Arabidopsis thaliana: one gene and its partners. The protein of the gene in region 1 interacts with the protein of each later gene in a pairwise test. Each region holds a gene or a part of one and is shown on either strand. Other genes may lie near its edges. The genes, in order: AGL28, AGL38, AGL86 and AGL36.

Region 1 (8,535 bases):
TATTTAGGCAAAATTGTTGTCCTTGAGTCTAAGTTTTCCTCCTACACGTGAATATAGATTCCGGTCGTCGGTTGAGACAAGTGTGCACTTATCTTGTGTTAACGAGACAAGCAAGTTACCCATGTTTGATTATAATTTTAATACTCGACTGGTTTATTAAATTCTTGCAACTTGGAAATTTTCAAGATGATAACCAACAACTAGGTCCATCCATAATCGAGATGATTTATGATAAAAAATTGTTTGGAAACACGATCACGTGAGCTAAAAAAGAATCATTGTGGTCCATTTCGTCCAAAGCGATAAGTTTGATCCATCGACCAATCACCTGCTTATGCTTCGACGTCGGTCCAAACATTACATATTACAATATCTAATAAGTGACATGTGAATGTGATCGTTGACAAAAGGTTACAAAGAAGAAGAATGTTAATTTCGTAAGGCCAAGACTCGAAGAGCCAAAGAATGAAAATATTATGTAAGTGAGACAATAATATACCGGAAAAAAAAATGAAATATAATGGTCGTGTGGAAATCACTTAACCCAAGTGACTCTCTTTTTTCATCTTTGCTTTTGCTGATGATGCCGTGAACCGCTCTCACCACTTTCACTACCGGCAGCAACCACAGCTGTCTCTTGTCTCTCGCGGCTTCCATGGTCCCTTGTTGTTCGGCGTTCCTGCAAAAATATTATCCCAGCTTTAGACATGTTTCAAACTCTTAAAGAAATGTAAAAACGTAAAGGCAAATTGTTTTGTATACATCGCGATAGAGTAGATCTTCGGCTTCAAGCATATGTATGATATGACCCATTTTAGGTCTCTTGTTCGCATCAGGATCCACACAACGCAAAGCTACAAGCAACACTCGTTTAAGAGCCTTTGAGGATGGTGGTTCGGGTATTTTCGGATCAACAACTTCTTCTGATCTTCGGTTTCCCACCATTGATTTAAGCCAATCCACTAGATTTGTCTACAGCCACGACACATAGTAAGACCATTTACAAAAACATAGAGAGGATTGAATATGCTTATCAAATACCTCTCCTTGAGGCCGACTATAATCAACCGGGTTTCTTCCAGTGATTATCTCCATGATTAGTATTCCGAAGCTATAGATATCACTCTTCTCGTTTAACATTCCGGTGCAAGCGTATTCTGGTGCTACATAACTAAACAAATCAACCCACAAAGTAAAAGTTATTTCCTAATATTCACATTCCTAAAGACTGCCTTGCAGATTGCAGGAGAGAGTTAATGAGTTTAATAGTTTACCCGAAAGTTCCCATCACACGAGTAGTCACATAACTGCTCTCAGACCCCAAGAGCTTAGCAAGTCCAAAATCCGAAACCTTAGCATTCCATTGGCGATCAAGTAAGATATTGCTTGATTTAATATCCCGATGAACAACTTTTGGCTCAAGACCCTCGTGTAGATACGCCAATCTACAGATATAACAAAGGTTTACACACAACAATAGCTTATAAACATAGAGGACAACTCAAAAGCTATTCCAGACTTACCCTTTGGCCATCCCCAGTATAATATTCATACGTATATCCCAAGTTAGCGGGCTGACATCGCCAACATCACCGTGAATCCATTGCTCCAAATTACCATTGTCGACAAAGTCATACACGAGCATCCTATAGTAACGAACCCAGCATTAGGTCACGACATCGCTTTTGTAACACCGGAAAAGAGATACGAGCAGCGGTATATATACCTGTATGCACCTTCCACGCAATACCCTAAAAGCCTAACAAGATTCTTGTGTCGTACTCGCCCAATGACTTCCACTTCTACTTTGAATTCCTTCTCTGCTTGACCCCTGGCAATCAAAGACACACCAACTAGAAATGTTACAGATCACATAGATCAAAATCCAGAAGCATAGTGCTATTATTAGTAAAGACGTTACCCATAAAAACCACATGAGACCAATGACATAATCTATACATACATAGAATTCAATAATAACAACAACCTTCAGGACCACAACTCACAGGCAATGCAGTTAAATAAGAGAAGGACTCTGATCACGATCACTCTTAACCATCTACATAAATATCCACAAGCATTTACTTAATGGATCTAAGCACATTACATGACGAGGTAGAGAAACAGAGACAAACTTCAATACCAAGCAATACAACAAATAAAATTCTTTGATTACGCAAATTGCAAAACCCCCAACTGGTAATTCCTAAAACCCCAATCTAGAAACGAGTAAAGGAATCAAATCGGAAATTTGAGAATACCTAAATCCCTTATCTAGAAGTTGAGTAAAGGATGAATATTTAGAATGAAACCAATACAAAATCAAAGAATACCTAAAACTCAAATTGAGAAACAGAGTAAAAGGACCAATCTTTAGAATCAAAATTGAAGATTTGGAAGTACCTATTGTTAAGCAAGTTCTTGACGGCGACTTTGGTTCCATCAGTTAAAATGCCACGATACACAATCCCGTAACCACCTTCTCCGATTACATTCTCTTCACAAAGCCCATTCGTGGCCGCTTCAAGCTCTCTCAGAGTATACCATCGGCCCCATCCAAGATGCGACACCTCCGGCCCACAATTCCCGCTACCGGAATACGACGCCGTTTCACTTGCACTCGCTGTTCCTCTACTCTCACCACTCGACACTCGATCTGAAAACACCACTCGATGCTCGATCTTCCCGATATCGACCTGGATCTCCGCCGGAACAGACTGATTCTGCGCCGGAACGATCTCTTTAATCTCCTTTGAAATCGGCGGTGTAGCGATGGCGGCGGAGGCGAAATCGGCTCTCGGCTTTCGATTTTTCCGGCGAGAAGTTAAGCAGAGGGAGAGAAGAAAGAGTGCGATGACAATTAGAGATCCAAGTAAGATTCCGATCACGACCCATAGCCGGAGACCAAAAATCGATGTCGGTTTCGAAAGCTCTGTATTAAGGAAAGCAGCGTCGTACACCGACATCGTACTTTAACTTTTAGCTTAGATTCCGTTACAGATTCTTCCGGTTTCTTCGCATTCTTCGCCGGAAACACACAAAACTTTCCGGCCAAAATCTGGGCTTTGTCACAGCATCGAGTGTTGAATCGAGGAAGAACAAAACAAATAAAAAGATTAAATTGATAAAATAAAAAAAACGATAACGAATTTAAAGAGAAAGGCTTTGGAGTGATCTGTGTTGATGTAATTGAATGAGCTGTCTTTTTGAGTTCCTGTCTGAGTGTAATTGCATGTGTGGTGACGGTGAGAGAAGGTTACCCGAAATGTCTATTTTACCCTTTTATGGAAAGTGGAAGATAGTAGAGTCTTTTATATAGTTTTGAGGAGTTTTTTGGTAATAAATCGATGTCGATAGCCGTTGGGGTGGTATGATAAGGTACGGTTCAGTGCAATTAACCAATCTGTGGATTACACATTGGTTAGTTTTTCGTTCTTGTTTTGACTATAATTGAACCTTGACGTTTGATTATTTAATTGCAAATTTTATATGGATATAAACATACTCATGGAATAATTATTGAGTTTACTTTATGAGAAACTAATCACTTTTGTTATGGGAACATGAGTGCACCAAAAAATCATTTGTTTGCTTCTGATACACATTATTATTGGTTTGTTCATAAAAAATATTTGTTATATATATAGGAAGAACATTTTTTTTTGTTTATGTCACATTAACACACAAATCGGATTTCTCATATCATATATGCAGTAAGTAGATAAAAAGACTGAAACTGCAAGTCAAGGTGATGAAGAGCCTGATTATCCTGAAAGTCAATGTTATGAGTAATGTTGTATTGTTACAGTTTTAATGGTGGATAAAAAAATTGTATCTTTGACACGATGGATTGTGTAGATCATTCGTTGAAACTTCGGAGGTCAAATGTATTACTATTTCATAATATTTGTGTCTTCAAAAAGTTTGGTTGGCTCTTAAAAGTAGAGCAATTAATGAGAGAATAATATTTAGTGTGGCCACGTATAATCTAGGTTTCCTCCTAAAAAGGGTTTAGGTGGGGCTAAAAGAGAAAACCCATTATTGCTCCAAACAAGTAAATTTTGTAGTATGCCAATAAGTCAATGATCAGCGGCGATGGTTGGTTTAGACTTTAGACTTTAGAGTCGTTTGGAAGTGCAAGCTTATGATATGTGGTATTTGGGCTTTTTTAAAAGTAGATTCTGAGCTAATAAATGTTGTCTTTTGCATTTGGATATTTCATTACCTGGGCTAGAATTTGTTTTTGTACAAACTCTAGCTTATAGAATCTTACTTAGTTTTCCCTAATCAGTTTTAGTTTGGTTCCTTGTTGGGCTTAAGACTTGTAATCTATATGCTAGAATCTTTTACATACTTGACTATTGAATACCATTACCGACCAAAAAAAGGAACCCAATCAGATTTGATTCCCACCGATAAATTGTAACAAGAAGGAAAAAGATATAACAAGAAACATGAGAAGTGTATACATTTTTAAAAATTCGTTTTTCAGGAGAGGTATATAGGTTATAGATTATCAATATATCATCATCATGTATAACAAGCAATTAGAGGCAGAGAAACATAGCCCATTAGGTAACGATCATGGGCTATATTAATCACGGCCCAAAACAAATTGTGTAAAAGTATACTATATTCAGAGATGATATAACAAATTGTGTATCACATATTAAATCTAATTTAATTATCACAACTTTTTTTTTGAAAAGTCAGCGATCAATTAAAATATCAAAACAACTATTTACTTAAATAAAATCTTGGAAAGTCGGACATAAAATTTCAATCATGTCATTTATCAACTTTCAATCATATTATTTTGTCAATTTGCTCTATAAAAACAAAAGTAAGTTGGACATAATATTTCATATATACACTATATGAATTTTATATAAAAAATTTGAACACTTAAAATAAATATAAAAGATCAAAAAGGATATTGATTATAGAAAAATAGTGGAAAATAAACACATGGAAAATATTTTTTAAGAAAATTGTGGATATCCTTCCCATATTTTAAAAAATTGACAGGCTGTAAACTTTAAAAAATGATAATGTTGGAGATAAAATAGAATATTGTATACCTTTTATTGACGAAATTTGTAAACCAATATATACTCCTAGAGTGGTAATTCATAATTTTGTTTCTTATAAATCACTATAGAAAAAAATATTTTCTTTCAATGCTCAAAACATATTTTGTAAAATTTAGTCTATAAATACAAATACCTATTATCTCTAATATAATCAACTCGCTTTTCTTTTTCTGTTCAAAACATCTCGAAAATGGCGAGAAAGAATCTTGGTCGTAGAAAAATAGAGTTGGTAAAAATGACCAACGAATCAAACCTTCAAGTTACGTTTTCAAAAAGAAGATCTGGTCTTTTCAAAAAAGGCAGTGAACTTTGCACCTTATGTGACGCGGAAATTGCGATAATCGTGTTTTCACCCTCGGGAAAAGCATACTCTTTTGGTCATCCAAATGTTAACAAGTTACTTGACCACTCTTTAGGGCGTGTTATAAGACACAACAACACAAACTTTGCTGAAAGCCGCACAAAGCTCCGTATTCAAATGCTCAATGAGTCTTTAACTGAGGTAAGTTTTAAGTTTTGGCATTATCTAATCTTTATTTCTTCTCTCTTTTATTTTTCAATTTAGATAAAAAATTATTATATAAGTGTTTCACAATTTGTTTTTGATTTGTAAAAGAAATGGTAAACCTCCTTTGCATATTTATTTCCTCAACAAAGTAAATTAAGAATGAAAATTTTGGTGGGTTCAATTTTTGTTTAAGTCATAGTCATGGATTCACGGATTTTCTTTACACATTCATTATTCATGAAATTAATTGTTTAAAATACAATTTTATCTTAGGTGATGGCTGAAAAAGAAAAAGAACAAGAGACCAAGCAGTCAATAGTCCAAAATGAAAGAGAGAACAAGGACGCTGAGAAGTGGTGGAGGAACTCTCCAACAGAACTCAACTTAGCTCAATCAACTTCCATGAAATGTGATCTTGAAGCTTTGAAGAAGGAAGTTGATGAAAAAGTCGCTCAACTTCATCATAGAAACCTAAACTTCTATGTTGGAAGTTCTAGCAATGTTGCTGCTCCAGCAGCTGTTAGTGGTGGTAATATCTCCACAAACCATGGTTTCTTTGATCAAAACGGAAACTCTACTTCTGCTCCAACACTGCCGTTTGGATTTAATGTTATGAATCGCACACCAGCTGGGTACAACAGTTACCAACTCCAAAACCAGGAGGTTAAACAAGTCCATCCTCAGTATTGGGCTCGTTACTATTAGTCTATCTCTCTCGTTGTGTGACTTTTTAAGTCTCCAATAGTTTGTTCTGCTTTTTGTTTTGTTTTTGTTTGTTGTTGTTGTTGTTGTCGGGCTTTTAATTAAGTCTCGAGTCAACTAGTTTCTTGTTTCTTTTCGTTATACTTTGTCTTGTAGCTTTATATCATTTTCTTGTGGAATATGAGTAAGCTATATGAAGTTTCATATTATGTCATTAGTCCATTCCGTATAAAAACCTAAGCAACAACTGAATATTACAAAAAAGCTAGTGACTTTCTACACAGGCTTTATCTGAAGTAATTTTCAAAACTAGTTATGTCATTAGTCCATTCCGTATAAAAACCTAAGCAACAACTGAATATTACAAAAAAGCTAGTGACTTTCTACACAGGCTTTATCTGTCTTCTAAGACGTTCTAAACTATTGAGACTTATATGTACAACCGGTTCATTCATTCATATCCCATGAGACTACCATTAGAGACTTCTCTCTATCGTTTAGTTCTAACTGGCGTTGTAAGATGATATCAACTTCCGCTGTAATAAACAGAGAAAATTTGTTTACTCTTCAATATTCTCAAGAGTCAAAATGTAACAAAGAGTCGACTAGCTCTTACTTGTTCATCAAACTCGGGACTCGTCAGGTTTACAGATAAATTTTTCATCAGTAAGAGAACCTGTTGAACAAAAAACCGTGTAAACGTTAGTTTTCAAATCAAGACATGTTCATGTGCAGAGTTATTGGTTTTCATACCGTCTCAAGATTTATTGGATCCATTTCCTTTAATCTCTTGACATGACCTGTTGTTTTAGGATCAAACACACTTCCTATAAAATTGTAAACTTCAGCGAAATTTGGCGCCACTGAATTGAAAAACCAACATCAAACAAACAAACTCATAATCAGTATATGAATATCACAAAGTCAGGAATCTCAAGCAAAATTGTTACCTCTATGTGGCTTTCCACAACTTTCTTGGTCATTTGTCTCTGTAACGATTCTAGTCCTCTGCTTATCTCTACTACTACTAGTGCTGCAACAGTTCTCTGAGACACCAAATTCCTCTACAATCACAAATTCATTACCCCACATTATTAACAACTCAAACAAGCAATATCTTCAGATTATTACATTAGTCCACACAGCAAACTTAAGCACATATTTTACCTTTGATAACAGAACTTGGTATACTAACATCGCAATGCACTAATCCATGCTTACGGGTGGTGCTAATCACCGGATGTGAATTAGTGTTGTATAAGTAGTCATGTTGAAATAATGCGTTTGAAGAAGAAAGAGTAACTGCATCAAAAACATAACCATGAGAAAATGAGATAAAGTAACAAAAGCGGAAGTAGAAAGATAAAAGGTTTAAGGTTGCCACATTTAGGAGCTTTTTGTGGATATGGGTGATTGGCTTTCCTCTTTGGTCGAGGAGGTGGGAGATGTTCTTTAGTCCCATTCTTCTGAACTTTGAGAAAGTACTTCTGTGCGTGGCTTCGTATCTACAAAACCAATATTCTAGTTACTATCCAACATACATAGAACTTATATCTCCAATTCCACCCCAAAGAACAGAGTTCATAAAATTACTTATATGTAACTTCAGACAAAAGTATGGAATGCATATGTTTGATTGATTACCTGTATCACTGTTTTTGATCCAACAAAGGCCTTTATTTTCTTCCAATCCCGGTCAAATCTGCAATCAAATAGACATGATCATATCAGAAGAAGAAGAACAAATCTCAAAGATTCTATATATCATTAATCAGATAAATGAAGGCAGAGAAGTGAAATCCGTGTCAACATACAGATGAAGGGCTTCAAGGAACTTGTCGTGTTCTTGCTCCGTCCAGTTCTCTCTAGATTTGGTGATAGTGTAAGGCTTTCTAACCTTCTTTGTTGGATCCTCAAAAAACGACATCGTCCTATTGCTCCGTATGGAAACCGGTATCGTTGTTGCCGTGTGGGGAAGAGTATTGAAACCCGGTAGACTCATTTTCATAGGCAAACAATGAGCTTGGCTAGGGTTTACAGTCACCATAAAACTCGACAACACACACAAAGTTCCCTTTTGGTTTGAAACAGAGTTTGTGACTTGAGAGACTTGTGTGAGAGTGGTGGTGGTATAAGCGGGAGAGGGAGACAAGGTTAGAAGTGTAATCTCATTCGAAAAATGGATTTAAGCCGAACACGTGTAAGGAGCCGGTTGCTCTGGTTCAGAGCGTG
Region 2 (8,262 bases), about 24 Mb from region 1:
ATTTACTGAAACTATGAACTCAAAGACTATATACTACATGTACGACACACTTTTAAATTCTTGTCATTGACCAAATAAGCTCTTATGTATGGGTTATAAATTTTGCTGCCTGGTATCTTCTCCACTTCACTATTCTAAATGCTAATTGAAAAAAACACTCAACGTTATTGAAATTATATTTGTCACCAAAAGAATCAGATCCTTCGAAAAGAAGAAGAAGAATCTGTTTTATTACAATTGGTATGGTTTTCTCTATCAGTTGATTCGATATTGGTGTGGTAATGAAGTGGAGAAATTAAAGAATAGTAAAATTAAAGACCCCACTTATTATTTCTTCCCTCAATAAAAAAAACAAAAACATTTCTCTACAAAAATCATAAATGTTATAACCAAAATAATTGAAAAAAGTAGCTCGAGAGAGAAGTAGCATTTGCTACTTTACCCAAAATCCCTAACCACATAATAAACCAAACCCAACAAAGAAAATAAAATTTCAAACCAAAAAAAAAAAAAATGAGAACTTTAGAAGAATCGAAGATCTCTATTGTCTTCTTGTTGCTTCTTCTCTTCTCAATCTTCATCAGTTCCAGTCACCAGGTTAGTTTCTTTACTTAGATCCCTCTAAAGTTCTCTTCTTTCACATCTGGGTATTTCTAATTTTGTTAAAAATCAAACCTTTAACATAACCTGAATTCAAAGTTTTGAGCTTTATGGGTTTTGATTGGAATTTTGTTTAGGCAAATGAGGTATTACCAGCTGAAGGAGATAATGAGATGATGATGGTGCCATTGGGGGAGGAGAAGTTTATGGTAATGAATGAAACAAGAAGGAAACTTGGAAGTTTTCAGATATGTTCAGTTTGTACTTGTTGTGGTGGTGCTAAAGGTCTTTGCTTGCCTTCTCCTTGTTGCTATGCTATTAACTGCAATATCCCTAATAGACCCTTTGGTTACTGTTCTTTCACTCCCAAAACTTGCAATTGCTTTGGTTGCCATATCTGAGATCTTCTACTTCATTGTAATTTGTAAGTTTCTTATTCTTCTCTGTTCTTAGTTTCTGCTCAGTTCATGTTTTGATGTTTGGTTATGAATGTTTTGATTCCAGGGGAGAGAAACAAGTGAATCTAAATCTTGATTCATCTTCAAGTGTGAAAGGGAGGAAAAAAAGAAGAATATCTGTTCTTGGTTTGAGTCTTCTACTTATTTTTTGTCTATAATTTATTTTTCAGTCTTCATTAAATTTCATTACCTACTATCTCAGCAACATCATCATCCTCATTAATTAATTGTCTTTTTGCATTTGCCATTTTTTCATAATTTTCTAGGGTTTTTTTTGTTTTGAGAATCTTGTTCACACTTCAAGCAAGATTTGTTTCTTCTTCTCTGTTCAATCAATTCTCTCTATCTGTCTTTCTCTCTCTCTTTTTTTTTTTTTTTCATTCTCTTGTTTACTTCATCATTTTGTTTCTTATGTGTTTTAAGAAAGTTAAAAGTTAGAATTTAGCATATTTTGGAAAAGAGTCATTGTTTGGTTAAGCTGGCAATTGGAAGAGTATTTAATATGATGATGATGATGGTATTGATGGTGATGGTGGTGATAGTGAAGCTGTTAAAGTTAAGTCTTTGTAATGAGTGACATGTTAAGAAAATGGATCAAGTTTAGTGCCTTATTCTGATCTGATAAGATCTTTAAGTGTTTTAGTTTAAAATAGAGGAAAAAGAGTAAAAAAGCAATTATTCATCTTCAAGTGCAGAGACTAGACAATATCTTTGAATATGTTTATTTATCTGACACTGTTATTATTGTAAGAGATGTTTTATGTCAAATGTTTGTTCCAACTCTCTCTATTGCGTTAGCGTAAGTAACCTGCAAGATCTGTAAATTAATTACTAATTGTTATTTATTATTCACACATGGGACATCATAAAGTTGTCTTGGTGATAAATTTAGTCAATATGTGTGTGTGGGTTAAGAGTGTTGACTATACCAGTTTCCCCGTGATTGATTGGCTTTTATTAAATCGGACAATTTGCATTTATATTCACAGGTCATGTTTATTAAACTCTACATTGCTGTCTAATGTCTATAGTACACCAAGTCTATTGGTGATTGAAATGTCGGAGAACGGTATAGTTTTTCTGTTCTTACAATAAAAAGGTAGATTAAGAACACTGATTAACTCAATGTAACCCATACACTTACACGTCGGGTCAATCTTGAGCGGTGATCTTTTGGGTTTACCTCTAACCCCGGACTGGTTAAACACTTTTCTCACCTCACCACATCAAAGCCATAATCAGGGCCCAAATTTGAGTGCCTACAGCAAAAAGATTTTGGCCCAATAACAAAAAACTGTTTTTTAAAACAATTACAAAATTTTCGTCTAAATTAGATTCAAAACTGTATAGTAAAATGTTTGGGACTAACCACTAAACTACAGTCACATTTTTGAAAATGATGACTCTAAAACAAGTTATAATTATTTGCTGCGTAATACCCTTGCTTCATGGGATTACGTGGAGAAGAAGAGTAAGTATCAATCAATTTATTGCTAGAGATTTGCAAAAGGGGGAATCCGTGTGCAGAGGTGTCTAGATGAAGCCATGAGTCTACAGCGGAGTTTGAATTTGCGGTGGATGAGTTACGGTGGAGATGACATTTTCCAAACATTACAAGCCTTAACACGTGTACCTACTGAGATTTTGATAGAACTTGAAATTGTTTCCCAAATAAACCTCTTATTCGGAAGTTAGGTTTTGGACTCAAAATGGATGGGATGCATCATGAGGTATGAGATATGTTTCCCAATGTAGTCTCCGGCGATGAGATTCTTTATCACCATTTTTATTTAACGTTAATACTTAAATCTTTGTAAGACAGAAAAAGAATAAGATGTTAGTCAAGATTAGAATAACGAGACCTAATTTGTGAAATTTTCCGTAGCTTTTTGTGGATAATAGTTTGTTTAGTAAAACTGATCCGAATTAATGTGAACTCGTAAGACTCCTCCATCTCAATGGAGCGGCTAATTAGAACAACTACTAAATTGTGACAAATCTAAGGTTGTCTCACATAATTCAAGAGTTTAAAATATGGTATAGTCTTAGATATAGATATCTTATACCAATATTCATAATTTGCTAAAGCTAACTAGACATTCCTAGATAATTTACCGCCAAGAAAACTAATTAATTGGATATGTTTTTCTTTTCTCTATAATTTTTGTATATTTAATTAATGTAAATATACAAAATTATATCAAATATATTATTTCCTTATATGTTTCATTTTAATCATTTTTTATTAAAATGAATAATTGGACACCTAGATAGCTAGGCCAAAACAATTTTTGACATTCCATTGACTTATTTACCCAAAATGGAAAGTGTGGGTGATTCTGGCTGTTTAGATGCTTAGACATAATCTTACTTTCTATCCAACTAATTATTACCTGTAACTGTAAGTTTCAATTTTAGGCATTTTATATTAATTATATTAAAATAAAAATAATAACAAATAGAAAAATGTATAGAGAAGAAAATATCTTAAATTACCTTTGAAATATATATTTTCCTTTAAATGGACTTTCTATATAAAAAATAAATCACATTACATATATGATACAATTTTCCCCCTAAATGTCTGGTTTTATGCCCCCCAAAAGGTAAAATATCTATATGGGCTGTCTATAAAGATAAATGATTATCACTTTACCATCAATCACATGCCAACACGTAAGGGTGAAAGTAATACCATATCCTGAAAATAAAAATTGAAAATAGTCCAGCAAAGCAATAAGAAACACATTTTATCTAGTATATAAACAATCGTCCTCATGCTAACAAAGCAAAACACATATAACAAAAACAATAGATATGAAGAGAAAGATGAAGTTATCGTTAATAGAAAACAGTGTATCGAGGAAAACAACATTCACCAAAAGGAAGAAAGGGATGACGAAGAAACTAACCGAGCTAGTCACTCTATGTGGTGTTGAAGCATGTGCGGTCGTCTATAGTCCGTTCAACTCGATCCCGGAGGCTTGGCCGTCAAGGGAAGGCGTTGAAGACGTGGTGTCGAAATTTATGGAGTTGTCGGTGTTGGACCGGACCAAGAAGATGGTGGATCAAGAGACTTTTATAAGTCAAAGGATCGCCAAAGAAAAAGAGCAGCTGCAGAAGCTACGTGATGAGAACCATAATTCTCAGATTCGGGAGTTAATGTTTGGTTGTCTCAAAGGGGAGACGAATGTGTATAATCTTGATGGAAGGGATCTTCAAGATTTGAGTTTATATATTGATAAGTATCTTAATGGTCTTACTCGCAGGATTGAGATCCTTATTGAGAACGGTGAGTCTTCTTCATCTTTACCTCTTCCTATTGTTGCGAATGCAGCTGCACCAGTCGGATTTGATGGTCCTATGTTTCAATATCATAATCAAAATCAGCAAAAGCCGGTTCAATTCCAATATCAGGCTCTTTATGATTTTTATGATCAGATTCCAAAGAAAATTCATGGTTTTAATATGAATATGAATAAGGATTCGAATCAAAGTATGGTTTTGGATTTGAATCAAAATCTTAATGATGGAGAGGACGAGGGCATTCCTTGCATGGACAACAACAACTACCACCCCGAAATCGATTGTCTCGCTACCGTCACCACTGCCCCCACTGATGTTTGTGCTCCTAACATCACCAATGATCTCTAGTCTAAGGGATGTATTTCGAGTGAAGTGTTTGATCGTTTGCATTTGTGTTTTCTCCATTTTATAAGACAAAACTTATATGTGATGTCTTTTTTATTATTATTAATTGTTGGACAATTCTTGCGTCCACACTTATCTTATTTACCCTTTCTTAAGTTCCTTATTAAACTTTACATTTTTTTTAACACCATCAAAAACTTTCTCTTTAAGTTGTTTATTACACTTTACATTTATTTTACACCATCAAAAACTAAGGTCACTAAATAAAAAAAACTATGAAGCCTCATTTTCCCATAGGAGCAATGTGAGACATAGACAAATTGAGTAAACAATTACATCACTTGGTAAACAATTTTTTTAATATTTAATTAGTATTGGTTGTTATTGATTTAAATTTTATATCACTTTCTAAATAATTTAAAATCGTATATTTGTATCAAGTGATGCAAATGGATTTAGATTTGTATCAATTTTAGTGAACTGATGCCACATAAACTAATACGACATCGATTATTGCAATTGATGTTAAACTATAATTCTTGTATCGATTGTAAACAAGTGATTCAAATTAATAGCATTCAATTTTTTTCATGCAACTACTTTTTTGTTTGTAGTATTTGTTGGATAGAACGTAATGTTATGGCTTAACATTTAAACGGCCAGAACTATCCACACTCTCCATTTTGGACAGATCAAGCAATGGAAGGTCAACATTGTTTTGGCTTAACCATCTAGGAGCCCTATTTATTTGTTTTTAATTACATTTTAAGAAAAATGACTAAAAGAAAAAATACAATGAATTAATATATTTAGGATAATACAGTATTCAAATATTTACATTAATTTAATATTTAAAACAGTATAAAGAAAAAGAAACATATCTAATTAGTTTTATAGGTGCTTAAACATATACGAATTCAGTAGTTCTTAGCAAATTTTAACTATTGAACTTTGTGTTCAAAATAACCTTCCTATGATGTCAAATACTGAAACTATTTTAGAACTCTTGTGAGTTATCTTAGCACCACATTTTATCACTTATAACTCTTTTTTTATTATTTTTACCAATAGAAAGTTTATAACCATGTTTTTATACCAATTGAATTTCTTATATTTTTCAAATAATTGTAATACCAAAAGATATTCTTAGAGTAATGTACTTTACAAATTATAAAAGTTGAAAATAGCGATATATGGGCTCCATCTAATGATCTCAATGCGGGACCAGCATGTGATATACGAATGTCTATATACATTATTTTCTCTGTTTTGTAACAATAAACGAGTAATGAAATTATATTTTATTGGCTTCAATTTGTAACAACCAACAAGAGGTCGAATGAGCCAACTAGAATACAGCCCACGATCAATAATCAAACCTATGAAACTTCCTTCTCTCTTTCTTTTAACATTTCCAAACACTATATATACTAATGTCACTTACCTCGATTGTCCATCAAACAATACATTTGAGATATCAATACTCCTGTGAGAACAAAATGAAGCTTTCTTGTGGTACAAGCTTTGCGTTCTTACTTCTGTTTCTTCTTGCGGCACAATCTGTGCATGTCTATGCGGGTAGCTTCCACAAAGACGTTCAGATACATTGGGGTGATGGCCGCGGAAAGATTCACGACAGAGATGGAAAACTTCTTTCTCTCTCGCTCGACAAATCCTCTGGATCCGGTTTTCAGTCTAACCAGGAGTTTCTCTATGGCAAAGCCGAGGTTCAAATGAAACTTGTTCCTGGTAATTCAGCTGGAACAGTGACAACATTCTATGTAAGTTACATACAATTTTCAAACCGTTTTTTGTCATCTTTTGCTATTCCTATAGTACATATATTTAGGCCTACATTAATTGAGTATGTTTGTGTTTATGATGACTTTGTGTAGCTAAAATCTCCGGGAACTACGTGGGATGAGATCGATTTCGAGTTCTTGGGAAACATAAGTGGTCATCCATATACTCTCCATACTAATGTTTACACAAAAGGCACAGGAGACAAAGAACAACAATTTCATCTATGGTTCGACCCAACCGTTAACTTTCACACTTATTGCATCACATGGAATCCTCAAAGGATTATGTAAGCGTAACCTTTGATACTTTGTATAATCTTATATGTTTTGAGGCTATGCGCTCATGAACTTACGTTCTCTTCTGTTTTTGCCCCTCTTACAGTTTTACGGTTGATGGAATTCCTATTAGAGAGTTCAAGAACCCCGAGGCGATTGGAGTCCCGTTCCCAACTAGACAACCAATGAGACTCTACGCGAGTCTTTGGGAAGCCGAGCATTGGGCAACAAGAGGAGGATTAGAGAAAACAGATTGGTCAAAAGCTCCTTTTACTGCTTTTTATAGAAACTACAATGTCGATGGATGTGTATGGGCTAATGGAAAATCATCTTGTTCCGCGAATTCCCCATGGTTCACTCAAAAACTCGATTCGAACGGCCAGACAAGAATGAAAGGTGTGCAAAGTAAATACATGATCTACAACTATTGCACCGATAAAAGAAGGTTTCCTCGAGGAGTTCCTGCCGAGTGCACTTAAATTCTTGATTCTTTGATACATGAATATGTTACTTGGCATTGCCTTTGTAACTCAATCAAGTTTTTATTTATTTTTATCATTTATTTGTTGCTCATATATACAGTATGTGGTGTTTGTGTAAGATGTTTTAAGATTGAAGTAATAAAAATAAATTATGGAAAAAAGCTTTCATTTGTTAACGTAATTAAATTTAACTGGCCGGCTTCACTAGACTTTTTAAAAAGTTAAAAACATAGGTAGAGGAGTTCATTAATTCTACAATAATGCTTTGGAAGAACATAAATCATAGGCTTACTAATATGAAGAACTGATCTATCTGATATGAAGGTACTTTAATACTCTCCCCAGTAAGAACACTAAATTCTTTCATGTACTTGCACTGATTTACTAGTTTTTTGGTAAACAATATATGTTCGATTGTATCTAAAATTGATACATTGTTCTGGTGATCAATATACATTGTATTCTCAATTTCTCATCTTCCAGTTATAATAACAATACTATATGGTTCTTGGTACATAATCTTTTACTTAACAAAAATAATTATAATATATGAGTTCGGAGAATTTGCTTTACCTGAGTTCTCGAGAGTGGTTATTAAGACGCTGCACACAGAGTATGCACACCCCAACCCCAACTTGCAGTATTCACTAACAGTATCACCTTGAGTCAAAAATAAAAAATACATACAACTTGCATCAAAAATAAAATCTTGCTCTATTTTGTAATAAATAACAATAATACAGCATAATAGAATGAAATCAATTTACCTTCTGTTTTGGGAATGACATGATGATATCCCACAGAACATGGCCCTGGACCGACTTTGCATCCAGTCATTGATTCACAATAACTCCTGATATAGACATCAGACGACAGACTTTATATTCAAGTTGAGCTTGTTCGGACTACTTGAATTTGTGCCATGAAAAGACTCATTATGATTTTACAGTCTTGCCTTCCATTTTTTAACTGATTTACCTGTTTGATGATAAA
Region 3 (8,347 bases), about 11 Mb from region 1:
ATATTTCAGAGAGAACTTATTCTAATCAACGGATTCATATTCTAATAGAACTAACCGGAGTAGGAGTCGAAAGAGAGGTCGAAGCGAGAGAGAGAGAGAGAGAGAGCTTCGTCGCCGAGAGAGAACAAAGTCGACGTGTGAGAGAGAAGAGAAGAAAACTGATGTGTTGAGAAAATTGATGGGCCAACCATAGACCGTATGGGTTAGCCCATTATACCCGTGGACAAAATTGGTCTTTAGACCATATGACCCGTTTTAGTTACGAACATTATGGATTGGGTTTAGCCCATGGTTAGATGACCATTTGACAGTTCTAACTTGAGTTATGGGCCTCATTAGGCCCATTTGATATTCACATGGGCTGATTAATATATTAAAAGAAAAAAAAAAGAAATTTGAGAAAGGAATAGCTAGGCCTAGGGCTTCGTCAGGAATCTCCATGAAACGCAAGGACGTACAGATTTTGTAGCAGCCGAAGTAAGTTAGGTCCGATATCGCTACAGTATCTAGATTGCCTGCGAAGTCTGTAATGAAGAGCCACAAAAACTAAAGTCATTTGCCGAATCAAATCTAGGGTTTGTTTAGGAGGCGCCATGAAATGTAACGAGCGAGATTGTAATAACGATAACGGGGAGGAAGATGAGAAAGACACAAACACAAGTAGGTTAGACTTAGATTCGCTCCCTCTTGATCTAAATATGGTTGTACTAGCTAGATTGCCTGCCAAGTCTCTTATGAAGTTTTGATTCGTGTCAAAGATGTGGCAATCCATCATCCGAAGCCGAGGGTTCATTGATTACTTCTTCTCTATGTCCTCGAAGCAATCGCGGTTAAATTACCTGCTACCACTGCTTTGATCGTGGGATACGATCCTATTGATGATCAACACAAAGCATTATCCTTGAAGAGAAAAAGGTATGATATCTAGTGGTCATCTGGAGAACAAGTTATGAACATTGGGAGATGGTGAAGTATGGATACACATTAAAGATACCCCTTTACCTTATAGGGCGGGTCATCAAGCGAGTGTATTCATCAACGGTTTTCTCTACTAAGCTGCTTTCTTAACCAAAACTAAAGAGACAGTTTTGGTTTGTTTTCATTTTAGAACTGAGAAACTGAGTTTTATCAATGCACTTAAGGGTTTTGTGCAATGGGGAAGTGAAGCAGTATTCATTGAATACAAAGGGAAGCTTGCTTCCATTGTGAGCGACCATTATGATCGGTTTCCATAGTTTCGATTTATGGATACTAGAAGACGTCGAGAAACATGAATGGTCAAAGCAAACATGTGTGTTTCCCTCCTCTTTTTGGGATGATGTTGAGTGTGCTAAAATGTCATTTCCAGACACCAACAAGGCTGGTGAGATCATTATTGCCCCAAAGAGGTTGTCACTCAATTTTCGACCCTTCTACATTTTCTACTACAATGTTGAAACAAAAAACATAAGAAGAGTTAAAGCTCCTAGGATTTGGAGACAGTGAAGAGTTTAGGCGCTCTTATGGATTCGAAAGAACCTCCGGCTCCCGTGAATCTCTTGTTCTGATCGCACATAACCACACGTCCAGAGTGTTGGCTTTTTTAAGGATCCTAGAATTAATTTAACTTGATTCGTAGGATCCTAATGTAAGAGATAACTGAAAACTTGCCTTTTATTTTAGTTTCATTATTTTATCATGTTGATTTTTCAAATTTTCAACACTAAACAAGCTACAGTTTGTATTGTTAATCTTTTGGGTTTGCTGAGACGTGTGTTCATTATTTATGTTCATGTTTTTACTTCTTTAGTGTGTTCATTTGCTCGCTATATAGGTAGGTGTGGGAAGTAAATAAATTATGGATTGAGAAAGAGATATACAGAGTATTGATGTTTTTGCGAATAATATATCCAAAGTAAGATTTTCTATGAAACAAAATATATTTGATTTTAGCAGATCTATTTAGTTATGTATTTTAAGAACAAAAAACAAAGTAAAAACAAATTTATGACCAAACTTCTTCAAATATAATTGAAATATCCGGCTCTACGGCGCAGAAATACATTACCCAATACATAAAAATATAACTGACTTAAAGGTAAAACCTTCAACTCTTACAACAATTAACTGAAAAGAAAAGACATTATTAGAGATTGGTCTTTTGAAATGGACAAAACACAAATGCAAACTACTGAAACACATCACACAACGGTGGTGTTGGTGGTGGTGGTGGTGGTGGCGTTGTTGGAAGGCATGTGACCGGTGGTAGTAAGACCAACGGTTGGTGGTTGGTGGTAGTTGTAGTAGTTTCCGTTCATGAAAGGGATGTGTGCATGCTCTGCAGCATAACCCACTTGTTCATAAGGATATTCCATCAACATCTCCATGAATGGATCATCTTGAAACGGATACTGATGATTTGGATCCAAACTGAGATTATCATAGATTCCATGTTGGATCTGATGATTAAAATCCACAGGAGCTTGGTATTGAATATTATCACTAAAAGCAGTAGGGATATAGGGCTGAATCGGCTCATACTGATTCTGAGCCATAGGAGGACCGGCACCCGCAACAGCAAGAGGAGCCGCACCCACACCCGCAACAGCAAGAGGACTCGCACCCGCCCCCGCAACAGCAAGAGGAGCCGCACCCGCACCCGCAACAACAAGAGGAGCAGCACCCGCACCCGCACCCGCACCCGCAACTGAAGTATGAAGCGGAGGAGGAAAGGAAGAAGAAGACGCACCATTGTTTGTAAGGAGCATGACACTTGAATTAAGCTGATTGATATAGTGATCAATATAAAGACTTAAATCTTGAAGGTCCCTTGCACCATACTGATGCTCACTCATCTTACCTTCAACACAATCAAACATAAATTGCCTAAGCTGAGATTCTCGGTTTTCACGACGTAGACTCTCCAGTTTCTTTGTTTCTTTGGTAATTTTGTCCTGCAAGTAGGTCTCATGACTCATCATCAGCTTGGATTGTTCTGTCGCCGGCCTCTCCATAAACATGGAAACCGCCTCTTGAACACCTTCGGTTGACGGCCACACCACTGGATTCTCGTACGGACTGGAGATTACCGCACATGCTTTGACGCCGCAGAGAGTTGTTAGCTCATGGAGTTTGTTCGTTATCCCTCCCTTCCTCTTCCTGAATGTGGTTCTCCTTGAGGTCTTATTAGCTATGAGTGATAACTTAATTTTCGACCTCATTATCTTTGTTTTTCTTTTCTTTGGTGTGTGTTTTGTTTACTTTCTTGGCCCAAGACTGTCTTGTTTATATAGAAATGAAAATTGTGCTTTTACACAGTACGTGGCTTTTCACGTTGCTGGACTCATTAGATTTGTTTTGTGTTTACTGTCTCATTAATTGACGAGGCCACTAATTAAAGCTATGTCTAAGAATAGATTTTCTTTTCTTTTTACTAAGAATAGTTTATCTTCCTATATTACTCTCACTTTTCTTTTAAGAGTAATTTAAAGTTTTGTTTATAAACTATGAAATTTAGTAATAGTTTGAAGTGTTTTTTTTTCTTCTTTTTAAATAGAGTACTCCATCTTCAATTTACATGTAAAATCATGAATATATACAAGCTCAAAAGAGTTGTTTATTTATAGAAAAAAAATGAAAACAATATAACGTGAGTCTTACGAAATATTTAGAAAGCACGAAAGTTTTTGAAAACAATGTAACATGAATCTCACGAAATATGTGTTCTATTTCTAAGAAAATCTTTAAACTACCTATATACATTAAAGGAGAACATACCAAGAAGTTTGTAAACCAATATAATAAGATAATAAAATATCATTAAAATTTATATTAATTAATTTAGTAAAAATATTTGATACTTACAATAATAACAAATGAAAATATATAATAGTAGAGTATTAGAGAAAAATATATTTTTTTAAATCTCAGATTTGGTTATATGAACTTTTTTAATAAATATATTAAAAGAACATTTGTCATGGCCTGCAGGTCCACCTGATTTTTTTTAATCATTAAGTTGATTCTAATTAAAAGGAAATTTGGATAAAATAACTGTTTTATACATTAATAGATGGATTTCTTTCCTCTTTTGGCTCAGTAATAAATTAGTTTAGAGATAATTTGTTAAATCATGCATATATTATACCTTTTGGAGAATACTTTTTCTTTTATTGGGTTAGAATATTTCATTGCATTGCCAGCTAATTATAAGCTGTAAATAGGGAAATTAAAGATTTTAGACTACGTATAGAAAACTTCCAGTTGTTTTTACATACCCAAAGAAATATCTAAACTTTAAAGTATTAATATTTAAATATAGTTTAATTATATATTAATTTTTGGTTTAAAAGCAAAAAATGAACCAATTAAAAAAAGACAAGTGTAATATACCCAAAGTTCAAGTTAATATACCAAAAGTTCTTATTTAAGAACCTTTCTCTTATTTCTCTCATACTTTTTTTGTGTGGTATGATTATAATGAGAGAGAATCCAAAAAAAATGGAGGTCTAACAATAACCAAAAAATAAGAAAAACAAGAATGCACATCGTTAATTAGACTTTGTTTGACTGGTTCTCTTCTTATCAATTACATTTACAAAATGTAGAAATTTCTCTAAAATAAATAGCATATTTATTGATTTTTGATTAAATGTTTTCAAATAGTTATAAAAATACTATAGAGTAGAAGATATTACATGAGAGAATGGTAAATAATTCAATCCAGTAGTAGTTTAATTTCCATTCTCTTTAAATGCTAAATTTTATTTCAAGCTCACCGTATATTTTTGGCTCAGATAATAAATAACTTTCATCTGCCATAAAACACTAATTTTCATGTTTATTTATATGTTTAGTTAGGGGCGACTTAAGCTACTTATAGTTATAGGTCATGTTCAAAAGTTTAACTATAGATATCTTAAATAAGGTCCATATATATACATAAGAACTTTTTTTGGTAATCACGATCCGTTTAATCTATGTATTTAATTTACACATACTAAAACAATTCAAGGTATAGTCGATCTTATCTGAACGTTGTAGTAAGCATAACTGGTCACCAAAAATATGTTCTTAGTTGAAGTACACACTTGAATCCAACCCAAAAAACCTCGTCAGTGTTGGGATGATACACGAAGTGAAGCCTATAGTTGAAATAGAACGCTAGGAAGCCATTTTTCTAAAAAAAAATCTTAATGAATACTTAGTAGGTGATAGGTACAGATAGAGATACATTAAGGCTTGTGTTAATTTCAAATTACCTTAGGCCCATAATATATGCATATCCTAAAATATACCTTATTTTCTTAATATCTCAGCTTTTTATTTAAAATTTTCAGAAGAGCCAAATCAATTTAACCATATTCAATCTTAATACAGTCTTTAAAACGGTTTTTAAAGGAGAAGCTTCAGGTGGCACGCATCGAACTAGGAAGACCCTCTAAATCAAGGAGAAGTATCAGAAGGCACTTTACTTAAACACCACAGTCTACTGCTTCTACTTGGAGTTGTATTCACTGAATTACCTGCCTTAGCAACTGCAAACAAAAAATAGAAAACCAGTCTCTGTCCCATCGGAGAGGCCTTACACGGGACCAAAGCAAAGGCCTTTGGGGTGCTCTTTAGGGTCACATGAGCTAAGGATGCTACTCGGTGGTGCAAGGGAGTTATAACTCTTTCAAGATTTCTCCCATTCTTGAAAGAATCCAGAAAGCAAGATTCGCAAGTGTTCGGGAATATGCTTCAAGAAGCCCATGCATGACCAATGTCCTGAAAACAAAGAAGAAGGATTTAATATCGACAAATAATTGTATTGTAAAGTATGACATGTTTCAGAACATAAACTAAGAAAGATGTAATTAGTTCTGTTTATGTTTACATTGCCATATTGGATCTTTGTGGCATTAAGAAACGAGTGAGGAAGATTAGAGTGTTTGGATTTGATCTGATTTCTAAGCGCTTCTTTTCGGTTCAAGAGTGATTCACTGCGACCAATTTCAACAATGGTTCTCCTCGTATATATACTCAATGGTACTTCTCCTCCTATATATACAACTTCCGTCCTGAACTCTCTTCAAAATATTTAATCATATAAGTATTTAACCATAATGAAGGCTTGAAAAGTATTGATGTTTTTTGGAAACAAAATCCTATCTGATTTTGGCAGATCTATTTAGTTATGCATTTTAAGAACAAAAAGCTCGTAAAAAATAATTTGTGACCAAACAGAAATGACTTCATTGAAATAGAACTGACTTAAAGGTAAAACCTTCAACTCTTACAACAACTAATTGAAAAGGAAAAGCATAATTAAATACTGGTCTTTTAAAACAAACAAAACACAAAATGCACACTACTGAAACACATCACACATTGTTGTTGTTGTTGTTGTTGGTGGTGGTGGTGGTGGTGGAAGGCATGTGACCGGTGGAAGTAAGACCAACGGTTGGTGGCTGGTGGTAGTTGTAGTAGTTTCCGTCCATGAAAGGGATGTGTGCATGCTCTCCAACATAACCCGCTTATTCATAAGGATATTCTGTCAACATATTCATGAATGGATCATTTTGAAACGGATACTGATTTGGATCCAAACTCATATTCTGGTTCAAATTCATATCATAGTTTCCTTGTTGAATCTGATGATTAAAATCAACAGGAGCTTGGTATTGAACCGGCTCCTGTTGATTTTGATTCAAATTCATATTCTCAAACTGAAAATGATCACTAAAACCAGTAGGGACATAGGGCTGAACCGGCTCATACTGATTCTGATTCATAGGAAGACCGGCACCTGCAACACCAAGAGCTTGGTAGTGAACCGGCTCTTGTTGATTTTGATACAAATTCATATGCTGATATTGAACATTATCACTAAAAACAGTAGGGATATAAGGCTGAACCGGCTCATACTGCAACTGACTCATAGGAAGACCGCCACCCGCGACAGCAAGACTCTGGTAGTGAACGGGCTCATACTGATTCTGAGTCATAGGAAGACCGGCACCCGCAACAGCAAGAGCCTGGTAATGAACCGGCTCTTGTTGGTTTTGATTGAAGTTCATATTCTGATATTGAATATGATCACTAAAACCAGTAGGGACATAGGGCTGAACCGGCTCATACTGATTCTGGTTCACATTCATGTTATGAAATCCAGTAGGAACATTAACCGCAGCTTGATCTGCAACAACAGGAAGATTGGCACCCGCAACAGCAAACAGAGGAGGAACAGTTACCGCAGCTTGATCAGCAACAACAGGAAGATTGGCACCCGCAACAGCAAACAAAGGAGGAACAGTTACCGCAGCTTGATCTGCAACAACAGGAGGATTGGCACCCGCAACATCAAACAGAGGAGGAACAGAAGAAGAAGACTCACCATATTCTGTAAGGAACTTCTTCCTGGCATTAAGCTGATTAAGATATTGATCAGTAAAAAGACTTAAATCTTGAAGGTCCCTTGCACCATACTGTTGCTCACTCATCTTGCCTCCAACGCAATCAAACATAAAATGCTTAAGCTGAGTTTCTCGGTTTTCACGACGTAGACTCTCTAGTTTGTTTTGTTCTTTGGTGATTTGGTCCCGCAAGAAAGTCTCATGACTCATCATCGTCTTGGACCGTTCTGTCGCCGGCTTCTCCATGAACTCCGAAATCACCTCTTGAACACCTTCGGTTGACGGCCACACCGTTGGATTCTCGAACGGACTGTAGATTACCGCACATGCTTTGATGTCACAGAGAGTTGTCAGCTCGTGGAGTTTCTTCCTTATCCCTGCATTCCTCTTCCTGAATGTGGCTCTCCGAAAGTGTCTATCAGGTATGAGTACTAACTTAGTCTTCGTCCTCATTATCTTTATTTTTCTTTTCTTTGGTGTTTGTGTTTGTTTAGTTTCTTGGCCCAAGACTGTTTATATAGCAACGAAAAGGGTGATTTTTTACTCAGGGTGTGGCTTATCACGTTTCTGGACTCATTAATTTGTAGTTACAGCATTAAATCTTTTGGCTACTGTCTTATTAATTGATTAGGCCACTAATTAAAGCTATGACTAAGATTGGATTCTCTTTTCTCTTTACTAAATATAGTTTATCTTCGTATATTACTCACTTTTCTTTTAAGAGTAATATTAAGCTTTGATAAACTGTGAAAATTTCTAATATTTTAAGTGTTTTTCTTTTCTTTTCGAATAGAGTTTTACAGCTTAATTTCCATGTAAAATCATGAATATATAAAAGCTTAGGAACTTTGTTTATCTATAGTAAAATTATTTCGGGAAAGAATTAACGTGTCTTACGAAATATTTAGAACGAGCGAAAATTTTGAAATATGTAGACATTAAAGGAAGCCTACATAGAAAAAAGTTTGTAA
Region 4 (8,623 bases), on another chromosome or scaffold:
TGTATATTTGTTGGAAAGATCAAAAAAAAAAAAAAGATCAAAATATAAAACACCATACTTTAAACCATATATTAAAAATATTGTTTTAACAAAAAAATCAAACACATAATAGTACATTGTATAATATATCTATAATAACTCAATTAATACAAACATCATAACTAGGGGTGTCAAAATGGGTAATCAAACTCAACCCAACTCATAATCAAATGAGTTTAGGGTTAAATGAGTTATGGGTTGACTCAACCCATTTAACAAAATGGGTTAATCCATTTAAGTAATAATTTAATTAATTATTATTATAAAACACTATTAAATAATTATCATTTTTAATAATTATTAATTCATTATCATCAAACTTAGGATATTTACGGATTCTATTTTTTAAAGGTTTACATTTTTGACGGGAAAATTACAGGTTAACGTTTTTGGCGGGAAAATCACGGGTTTACGTTTTTTTGGCGAGAAAATTATGGGATTACGTTTCTGCGGGAAAATCACGGGTTTACGTTTTTGGCGGGAAAATCACGGGTTTACGTTTTTTGGCAGAAAATTACAGGTTTACGTTTTTGGCGGGAAAATTACGAGTTTACGTTTTTGGCGGGAAAATTACGGGTTTACGTTTTTGGCGAGAAAATTACGGGTTTTACGTTTTTGACGGGAAAATCACGGGTTTTCATTTTTGGCGGGAAAATCACAGGTTTACGTTTTTGGTGGGAAAATCACGGGTTTATGTTTTTGGTGGGAAAATCACGGGTTTACGTTTTTGGCGGGAAAATCACGGATTTACGTTTTTGTCGGGAAAATTACGGATTTCTGTTTTTTGGTGGATAAATTACGAGTTTACGTCTTCTCAATTTCATCTCTTGTATATTTAAGAAATTTGGAAAAATATTGATTTTCTTAAATTGGTTTAGATGTGTTGGTTAAACTTAAATTGATATTGGTTTAGAGATTTTATTTGGTTTAATTCAATTTTACAAAATTTGATGGGTTAATTGGGTAAACCATTGAAACCATTAACCATTACAACCCAACTCATTTTACTCATCAAACCAATTGACCCAATAACTCATTTGACCCATCAACTCATTTGAGTCAAAAATTTCAACTAATTAGGAATCATGGGTTGAGTTGAGTTGAGTTGACCCATGAATTCTGACCCATTTTGACACCCCTAATCATAACGCTCGAAGTTAAAAACATAGACCATGTCTTCATTCTCATTTTATCAACTCTATAACGTTGCTTATAAAGTCATAATAGCCTAATAATCATCATATTAAAGTAAAGAATTTTAATTATATTTCTTATAATATAATAGTCTTCTAGGTCACTATTCACAATCTTAATTATTTTAGAACAAATAATTGTTTGTTAATAAGTTAAGAAAACACCAAAAATTCATATATGTACTTCTAAATTATTTATTTAATACATCTAAACTTGGGTTCGCAAAAATCGCAACTCTTAAAAAACAGAATTCGTTCTTTCAAATAGTTTTCAATTTGACATTTACACAAATCTCTTTTCAAGCGGATAACAAACCTCTACCAAAACTTTTCTACAATCTAAGATATTATATTATTGAAATTGTATGCTTTTATCTTGATAATTAATAAAAGCATTCCAAAATTCTGAAATGTGGGTTCCAAAGCTATGATTGGATCATATTTTCTTACCAATTCTCTCATGTCTACATAAAGCTATTTATTTTAGGGATATTAATAAGATCAAAAATAGGGTAATGCCAGCTAAATTACTCTTCATTATTAGCTGGTAAAATTTATTTCTAAAAGTGCAATGAAAAATATATAATATCGGGTCAATGCCCCAAAAGATATAATATCCACATGATTTTATAAATTATAATTTTACAAATAAAAAAAAAGACAAAAATCATATTTATGTATTAAACTCTTGATTTTACCCAAATTATGCATATATTTTCTAAATAAAAATAATTTTCATAAATAATTTTTTATATGTCATTATTAATAAATAAATACATGTAGTCATATTAATGTATTAAACTCTTGATTTTACCCTTATATGTAGTCCATTTTTAAAAATACTCTTTCTCTTGAGCAAAACAAACAAATTACCCACATCTAATGAGAAACATGTAATTTATGAACTGAAATTTTCCCGCCGAATTTATTTTTTCCCTGACAAAAAAAAATTCTACCAAAATATTTTTTTTTCCGCCAAATTTTTTTCCCGCCATTTTTTTTTCTCTGTAACAAATGTTTTTCCAGCTAAAAACATGCATTTAAAAATCTTTGTAAAGGTTTTTAAAAGCTTTGTAAATTTGTTAAAAACCCTTGTAAATCATTTTAAAACCTATTAAAATCTTTATAAAAATTTTAAATATATATGTAAATACTTTAAAAACCCGTTTTAAAACCTTTTGTTTTACATTTTAAAACCTTTTACAATAATTTTAAAAGATTTACAAGAGTGTTTAAAAGATTTACAAGGATTTTAAAAACATTTGTAAATGTTGTAAAAATCCTTGTTAAATCCTTTAAAACCCTTGAAAACTATTTAAAAACCATATAAAAATCTTTTAAAAACCCTTAATAATTTTTGAACCATTTTAAACTCTTATGAACCCCTTACAAAATGTTTTAAAAACCCTTGTAAACCATTAAAAATCTTTTAAAATCTCATGTAAACCCTTTAATAATTTTTGAACCATTTTAAAGTTCTAGAAAATTATTTTAAAAATCTTTGTTAATCTTTAAAAACACATGTAAATCTTTTAAAACCCTTTTCAAATCTTTTAAAATCACTTGTAAATCTTTTAAAACCCTATAAAAATCTTTTAAAATCCTTTGTAAATCTTTTTAAAACCTTTTACACTTTATAAAAATCTCTTAAAATCCCTTATAAATATTTTAAAACCCTTTTACACATTTTAAAAATCTATTAAAATCCATTGTAAATCTATTTCCTGCGAAATTTGTTTTTTGCGGGAAAAATCTTTTTTAAAACAAATATTATGGCAGAAAATGTTTTTTTGAAATTTTTTGGCGGAAAATTTTTTTCAGAATATTATAGGCGGGAAAAATCAATATTTCATTTTTTTACCTAAAACATATTTTAAATAGGGGTAAATAGTCATTAAAAATTAAAAAAGGGTATAAATGAAAATAACAAATAAGAAAGGGCAATACTGAAAAGGGATTGTGTTGAAAGGGCATTCATACCAATTATTCAAAGTTTTTGGCGTTTCTGTGAGATGTACTTTGCATATTTTCCAAGTTGTTTGCCCATTCTAAAAATTTATTTGTATGATTCAGAGTACATCTTTAAATTACTGTAGATAACAAACTTTCTGAAATTTACTTTAGATAACAAACTTTAGAGTAATTTCTAGCTTACCACAATTCTATATACATTGACAATATATTACTGTATTTTAAAAGTACAATCACTTAAAACTATTGCAAAACTTCATATTTTAAGAACAAAGTAAGCTAGAAATTATTCTTAGTAAAAAGAAACAATGAGAGTAAGAGAAATTAATTCGCCAAAATAAAAACAAAACTTAGAAATACAAAATATTATATTACATGCCCCCTCGTATTACATGGATAGATTTTTTTCTTTTTTTTGTCATCAGATATTATTTAGGATCAGACGTACCAAACTTTGGATAAGAAAAAATATTTTTATATAGATAATAATGAATTACCTGGTCAATTAATTGATAAGAGATTTCCTGGATGTTATTTAGAATTAATTAGTCCACCAAAGTGATAAGAATCCTAGTGTCTATAGAATCACCTTTCTTTGCTATATAAACATCCTTTGAGCAAACAAATTAAACAAACCACACAAAACAAAAAAAAAAAACAAATTGATGGGGATGAAGAAGGTGAAGCTATCTTTGATAGCTAATGAAAGATCAAGGAAAACATCCTTCATAAAGAGGAAAGACGGGATTTTTAAGAAACTCCACGAGTTGTCAACTCTGTGTGGTGTCCAAGCTTGTGCTCTCATCTACAGTCCATTCATACCGGTTCCAGAGTCATGGCCGTCAAGGGAAGGTGCTAAAAAGGTGGCTTCAAGGTTTCTGGAGATGCCGCCGACAGCCCGAACCAAGAAGATGATGGATCAAGAGACTTACCTTATGGAGAGGATTACCAAAGCAAAAGAGCAACTAAAGAACCTGGCTGCTGAGAACCGAGAGTTACAGGTTAGACGATTTATGTTTGATTGTGTTGAAGGCAAAATGTCCCAGTATCATTATGATGCAAAAGACCTTCAAGATTTGCAATCTTGTATAAATCTATATCTCGATCAGCTTAACGGAAGGATCGAGTCCATTAAAGAAAATGGTGAGTCGTTGTTGTCTTCCGTCTCTCCTTTTCCTACTAGAATTGGTGTTGACGAAATTGGTGATGAGTCATTTTCCGACTCTCCTATTCATGCTACAACTGGGGTTGTAGATACTCTTAATGCTACCAATCCTCATGTTCTTACGGGCGATATGACTCCTTTTCTTGATGCGGACGCAACTGCGGTAACTGCTTCCAGTAGATTTTTTGATCATATTCCATATGAAAATATGAATATGAGTCAAAATCTGCATGAACCGTTTCAACACCTTGTTCCTACTAACGTTTGTGATTTTTTTCAAAATCAGAATATGAATCAGGTTCAATACCAGGCTCCTAATAATCTGTTTAATCAGATTCAACGAGAATTCTACAACATAAATTTGAATCTGAATTTGAATCTGAATTCGAATCAGTATCTGAATCAACAACAATCATTCATGAATCCGATGGTGGAACAACATATGAATCATGTTGGAGGGCGTGAAAGCATTCCTTTCGTGGACGGAAACTGCTACAACTACCATCAACTACCATCCAATCAACTACCAGCCGTTGATCATGCTTCCACCAGTTACATGCCTTCCACCACCGGTGTCTATGATCCTTACATCAACAATAATCTCTAATCACAAAAGAGGGAGAAGAACTAGTCTAAGTGTTCAATTGTTTGTATTTGTGTTTTCTTCATTTCGAAAGACAAAAACTAATGTTGTTTATTAATAATGGTTAAAGGATCTCTTTTTAACTTAATTATGTATTTTGATTATTAAGTAATGTTTTGCCCCCAAAAAAAGATTATTAAGTAATGTATTTGCTCACCGTAGTGTGGGAAACTTTAATTGTAGAATTTTATTTCGAAAATTTAAGATGTGACTGGTACAATATTTAGACGGAAATTTTCAATTGAATTCTTTTAGGACCCATACATAGAGAATAATTGTTTTCCCCAGCAATTTAAAGTAAGAACTATTATTCTTTGAATCAATTATCGATTTGCCATTTTTTGGGATGGTATCTGTGGATTTTGTCCTTTTCTGAATAGTTTGTAGATTTTGCCTTTTTCACACTACGAAAATATGATTTAACATGTGTTTTATTCGTTATGTTTTGGTTTAGTCGGTTGTGCTTGTTCTTAGGATTTAATATTTTGTATAAACTACGTATTTTTACCAAAAAAATCGGAAATACATACTTTTTTTAGTGTTAGAAAATGGCATATCCATAAGATTTTAGTAAAAATTACAATTTCAAAAAAATTCTATGAAAAATGGCAAAAGCAACAATAATCTCTTATTCTTTTCGAAAAAAATTATTTGATAACAAAAAAAAAAGAACTACTCTTATTCAATGTTAAAAAAATCGTTAGGCGCTAGTTAGGCTTTCGATAGAAGCCTTGAGCCTATATCGATCAGTGCCTAGGTCAATTTTTTAAACATTGTTCCCATTCTTTTGGGCTCAAAAAAATTAGGTAGAAAATTTGTTCTTCCAAATTTTGCACCAGTTAGACTCTAAGGGGGTGTTATTGGTTCCTAATTTTCATGACTTTCCATGACTTTATTTTGTGAAGAAAAATGTAGAAAGAAAAAAAGTGTGGGTAGTTTTTAGTCTTTCCATTATAACAAAAATGTATAACTATATAAGATAATACTAGAGAGCTGTGTAAATCACCTAAATACTGTTTTAGGAAAAAAATATCTTTTGATAAGAAAAAACTTGCAAAAAATACATCTACACACCATCACAGCATTGATTACAGTATATATGTGTATGTGATAATATTCAGCATAAAATCTAACTGTTTTCTTAATGTCAAAACAAATATATCATTAGTCTTTTATATAGCCTGCTCCTGCATATTGTGAAGATTTAGTTTTTCTGGGTTTTCATTACATGTTTGTTTGCTTGTGCAAATATTAATCATCTCGTGTTATTTTAAATTATGTTAAAAAATCGAGGGTAATAATTTGATAAATTTTTGTTTGTATTTTGTTATAAAATTATTAGTAAATTTAATTAGGTTTAGTTGCAAATAGTGCTATGATTTATGGTCTCATTATTTTTATTTTTTCATTTTTTTTGTCCACAAGATCATTTTCATAAAAATGAAAAGCCCATTGAGTTATATAGATGATGAAAAAAGCCCAAACCACCAGCGTTTACAACTTCAATTTAAATTGAAGTCTATTTATCCTACTAAAATTTAAAGATAAGGACGAGATTAAAAAAGTGTTACGTGCGGTATACGTGTCCACACGCGAGAAGGAGATGAGATGACACAAACGTAGCTAGCCAAATCCACGATCAGCGCAGCTCCGCCGCCAGACTTCAGATCCACCACCGCTCCTCTTCTACAGCGCTGCCCGTTGCTAAAGTCGAGAGAACCCCATCGAATCCATCTTGAAGTAGATCGAGAAAAAACAAATCTTCATAATCTCAATCTGCTCCTATAGTAGGAAGCTTCGCCTTTGGCCGTAATAGGCCTATATCCATGGATAAACATGTGGAGATATTACTCTCGTATATATATAAGAAGAGTTGAGCTGACGGTGAACAAAGAGGATCTAACCAATAGCTGCGGCGATTTGAGTTTATGTATGTAGAAAGAAGAGAACAAAACAGATCCGATCTTAGTTGGAATTTTATTGTCCGAAACAAATACAGAGATGAACAACAACAAGTCACTAAACCTAAGCTATAGATCTAAGATATGATTTGGAAGAGACAAAACAAAGAAATCTATTTTACAATCTGATCAATGTCATAAAAAGAAGCTTTCCCTCTCTAAAAGATATGGCAGAGGTAAGGGAGAGGAGCGTGATTTAAGTACTCATTAAAAAACTCGGTGAGTGGGCTAATCGATCCTACACTCACCCTAAAGAGATTAGCCAAGTGATTAAGGCCCAAAACACCTCATAATATCCAAAAATAATAATTTGGTAAAGTTAACTATCACACCTTTCCTCTGACCACTTGGGCCGAAACTCAAATGGCTACGTTAAATTAAGAACTAATTATATAAATTTGGTACAACTCAAGATTTTATTTTTACAGTATGTAAACTCTAAGCATGCGGCACTTGGTTATTTGGGTGTAGTAATAATTATATAAATTAATACTCGATAGATTAAAATCTTTGATCCCTAATAAGTGTTTAAGATCATTTAATTAATAAATTAATAACTGTATAAATATTGAAATATCATAATTTCGATATTATTAATTTATAGAGGTTAAGCTTTATTAATTTCTAATTTTTTACTGTTATAGATTCACTAATTTTTCTTAAAAGGAGCATGTATATTCTCAAAATTAGTCGGATGTTAAAACGAAAAAAATTGAAATTGGGTGCTAAATATTAAAAAGAACAATATATCCATGAAACAAATTATCTTTCTTTTCTTTAGCCACATGTCATGAACCAAAATCTCTATTACATTTTTGTTGCTATTTGTAGTTGCTTCCATTAATATTCATACAAAGGTCGAACTTAACTCTGATTAATGATTTATTACATCTCTATAAAGTGGATACAAAGCTAGATGTCTAATCAAGGCGCAATATAAAATCTCTCTCTTCCCACTCTAGTTACTCTTTATATTTCCATCTTCTACGACACATAGGGCAATGGCCATAGCTCTGATACCATGTAATTGTATGAATCTCCGTGAATGGAAAGTTATGTATTGAACATATATATATAGGGTTACATGAGATAAGCATAAATCTGTTCATAAGATATTAGATATATACAAATATAAGATTCTCATATATCTAATCTAACAGGCAATAATCCCCGAGGAGTTTACTTAGAGGGCAATCATCCTCAGGGAGTTTGCAGTCAGGACAAGAAGCATCAAATGGCATCCGACATAACCCACATGTCTCATCTTGAGCATCCCATGTACCCCATGCCATCTAAAGTTTCTCACAATGTAATAGTTTTGGTGTATGAACCGTAAGAGAATCCAACAAAGGATTATTGAAATAGAAAATAGTCAAAATGCTATAATTTGAAATAGTTCATTAGAGCTTTATTGTGCAAAAATATAAAAAGAGGGAAAATAACTTAGATTGTCACCAAAACAAAGAGATTGTGGTTAATATTTCATAAAATGGATGAACGAGAGTTGTTTACATCTTTTAGACACATAACAATCCTATTTATATCACTTTCCAAAGAAACCCTAACACACATAGGCTTACAATAACACACATTAGATTTGTTTTGGATTTGTGTTTAGCTTTTAATTCCCTTGAATGGTCTTACATAAATT

What was found.
Region 2: the proteins of AGL28 (region 1) and AGL38 interact in a two-hybrid assay, tested with the Arabidopsis thaliana proteins (one large-scale study listed by BioGRID).
Region 3: the proteins of AGL28 (region 1) and AGL86 interact in a two-hybrid assay, tested with the Arabidopsis thaliana proteins (one large-scale study listed by BioGRID).
Region 4: the proteins of AGL28 (region 1) and AGL36 interact in a two-hybrid assay, tested with the Arabidopsis thaliana proteins (one large-scale study listed by BioGRID).

Annotation. Positions count from the first base shown.
Region 1 is NC_003070.9:190,411-198,945, reverse strand, and holds AGL28 (AGAMOUS-like 28), read left to right. Parts: upstream 1-5,275; 5' UTR 5,276-5,283; coding exon 5,284-5,595; intron 5,596-5,874; coding exon 5,875-6,306; 3' UTR 6,307-6,312; downstream 6,313-8,535. Other genes in the region: AT1G01540 (Protein kinase superfamily protein), read right to left, coding at 563-679, 763-972, 1,042-1,171, 1,275-1,445, 1,524-1,646, 1,727-1,831, 2,404-2,966; ASG4 (Homeodomain-like superfamily protein), read right to left, coding at 6,887-6,979, 7,057-7,166, 7,254-7,367, 7,471-7,605, 7,688-7,808, 7,948-8,005, 8,118-8,350. UniProt on the Arabidopsis thaliana protein: Probable transcription factor that may function as a floral promoter operating upstream of known floral activators in the autonomous pathway.
Region 2 is NC_003070.9:24,251,054-24,259,315, forward strand, and holds AGL38 (AGAMOUS-like 38), read left to right. Parts: upstream 1-3,875; coding exon 3,876-4,712; 3' UTR 4,713-4,804; downstream 4,805-8,262. Other genes in the region: AT1G65295 (ubiquitin carboxyl-terminal hydrolase), read left to right, coding at 514-597, 738-1,001; XTH17 (xyloglucan endotransglucosylase/hydrolase 17), read left to right, coding at 6,143-6,490, 6,605-6,798, 6,894-7,266. UniProt on the Arabidopsis thaliana protein: Probable transcription factor involved in the development of gametophytes and seeds.
Region 3 is NC_003070.9:11,316,348-11,324,694, forward strand, and holds AGL86 (AGAMOUS-like 86), read right to left. Parts: upstream 3,201-8,347; coding exon 2,181-3,200; downstream 1-2,180. Other genes in the region: AT1G31620 (uncharacterized protein), read left to right, coding at 594-660, 822-915, 1,109-1,205, 1,470-1,547; AGL92 (AGAMOUS-like 92), read right to left, coding at 6,345-6,481, 6,572-7,829. UniProt on the Arabidopsis thaliana protein: Probable transcription factor.
Region 4 is NC_003076.8:9,339,911-9,348,533, forward strand, and holds AGL36 (AGAMOUS-like 36), read left to right. Parts: upstream 1-3,874; coding exon 3,875-4,975; 3' UTR 4,976-5,101; downstream 5,102-8,623. Other genes in the region: AT5G26640 (anaphase-promoting complex subunit 11 RING-H2 finger protein), read right to left, coding at 7,931-7,985, 8,131-8,264. UniProt on the Arabidopsis thaliana protein: Probable transcription factor.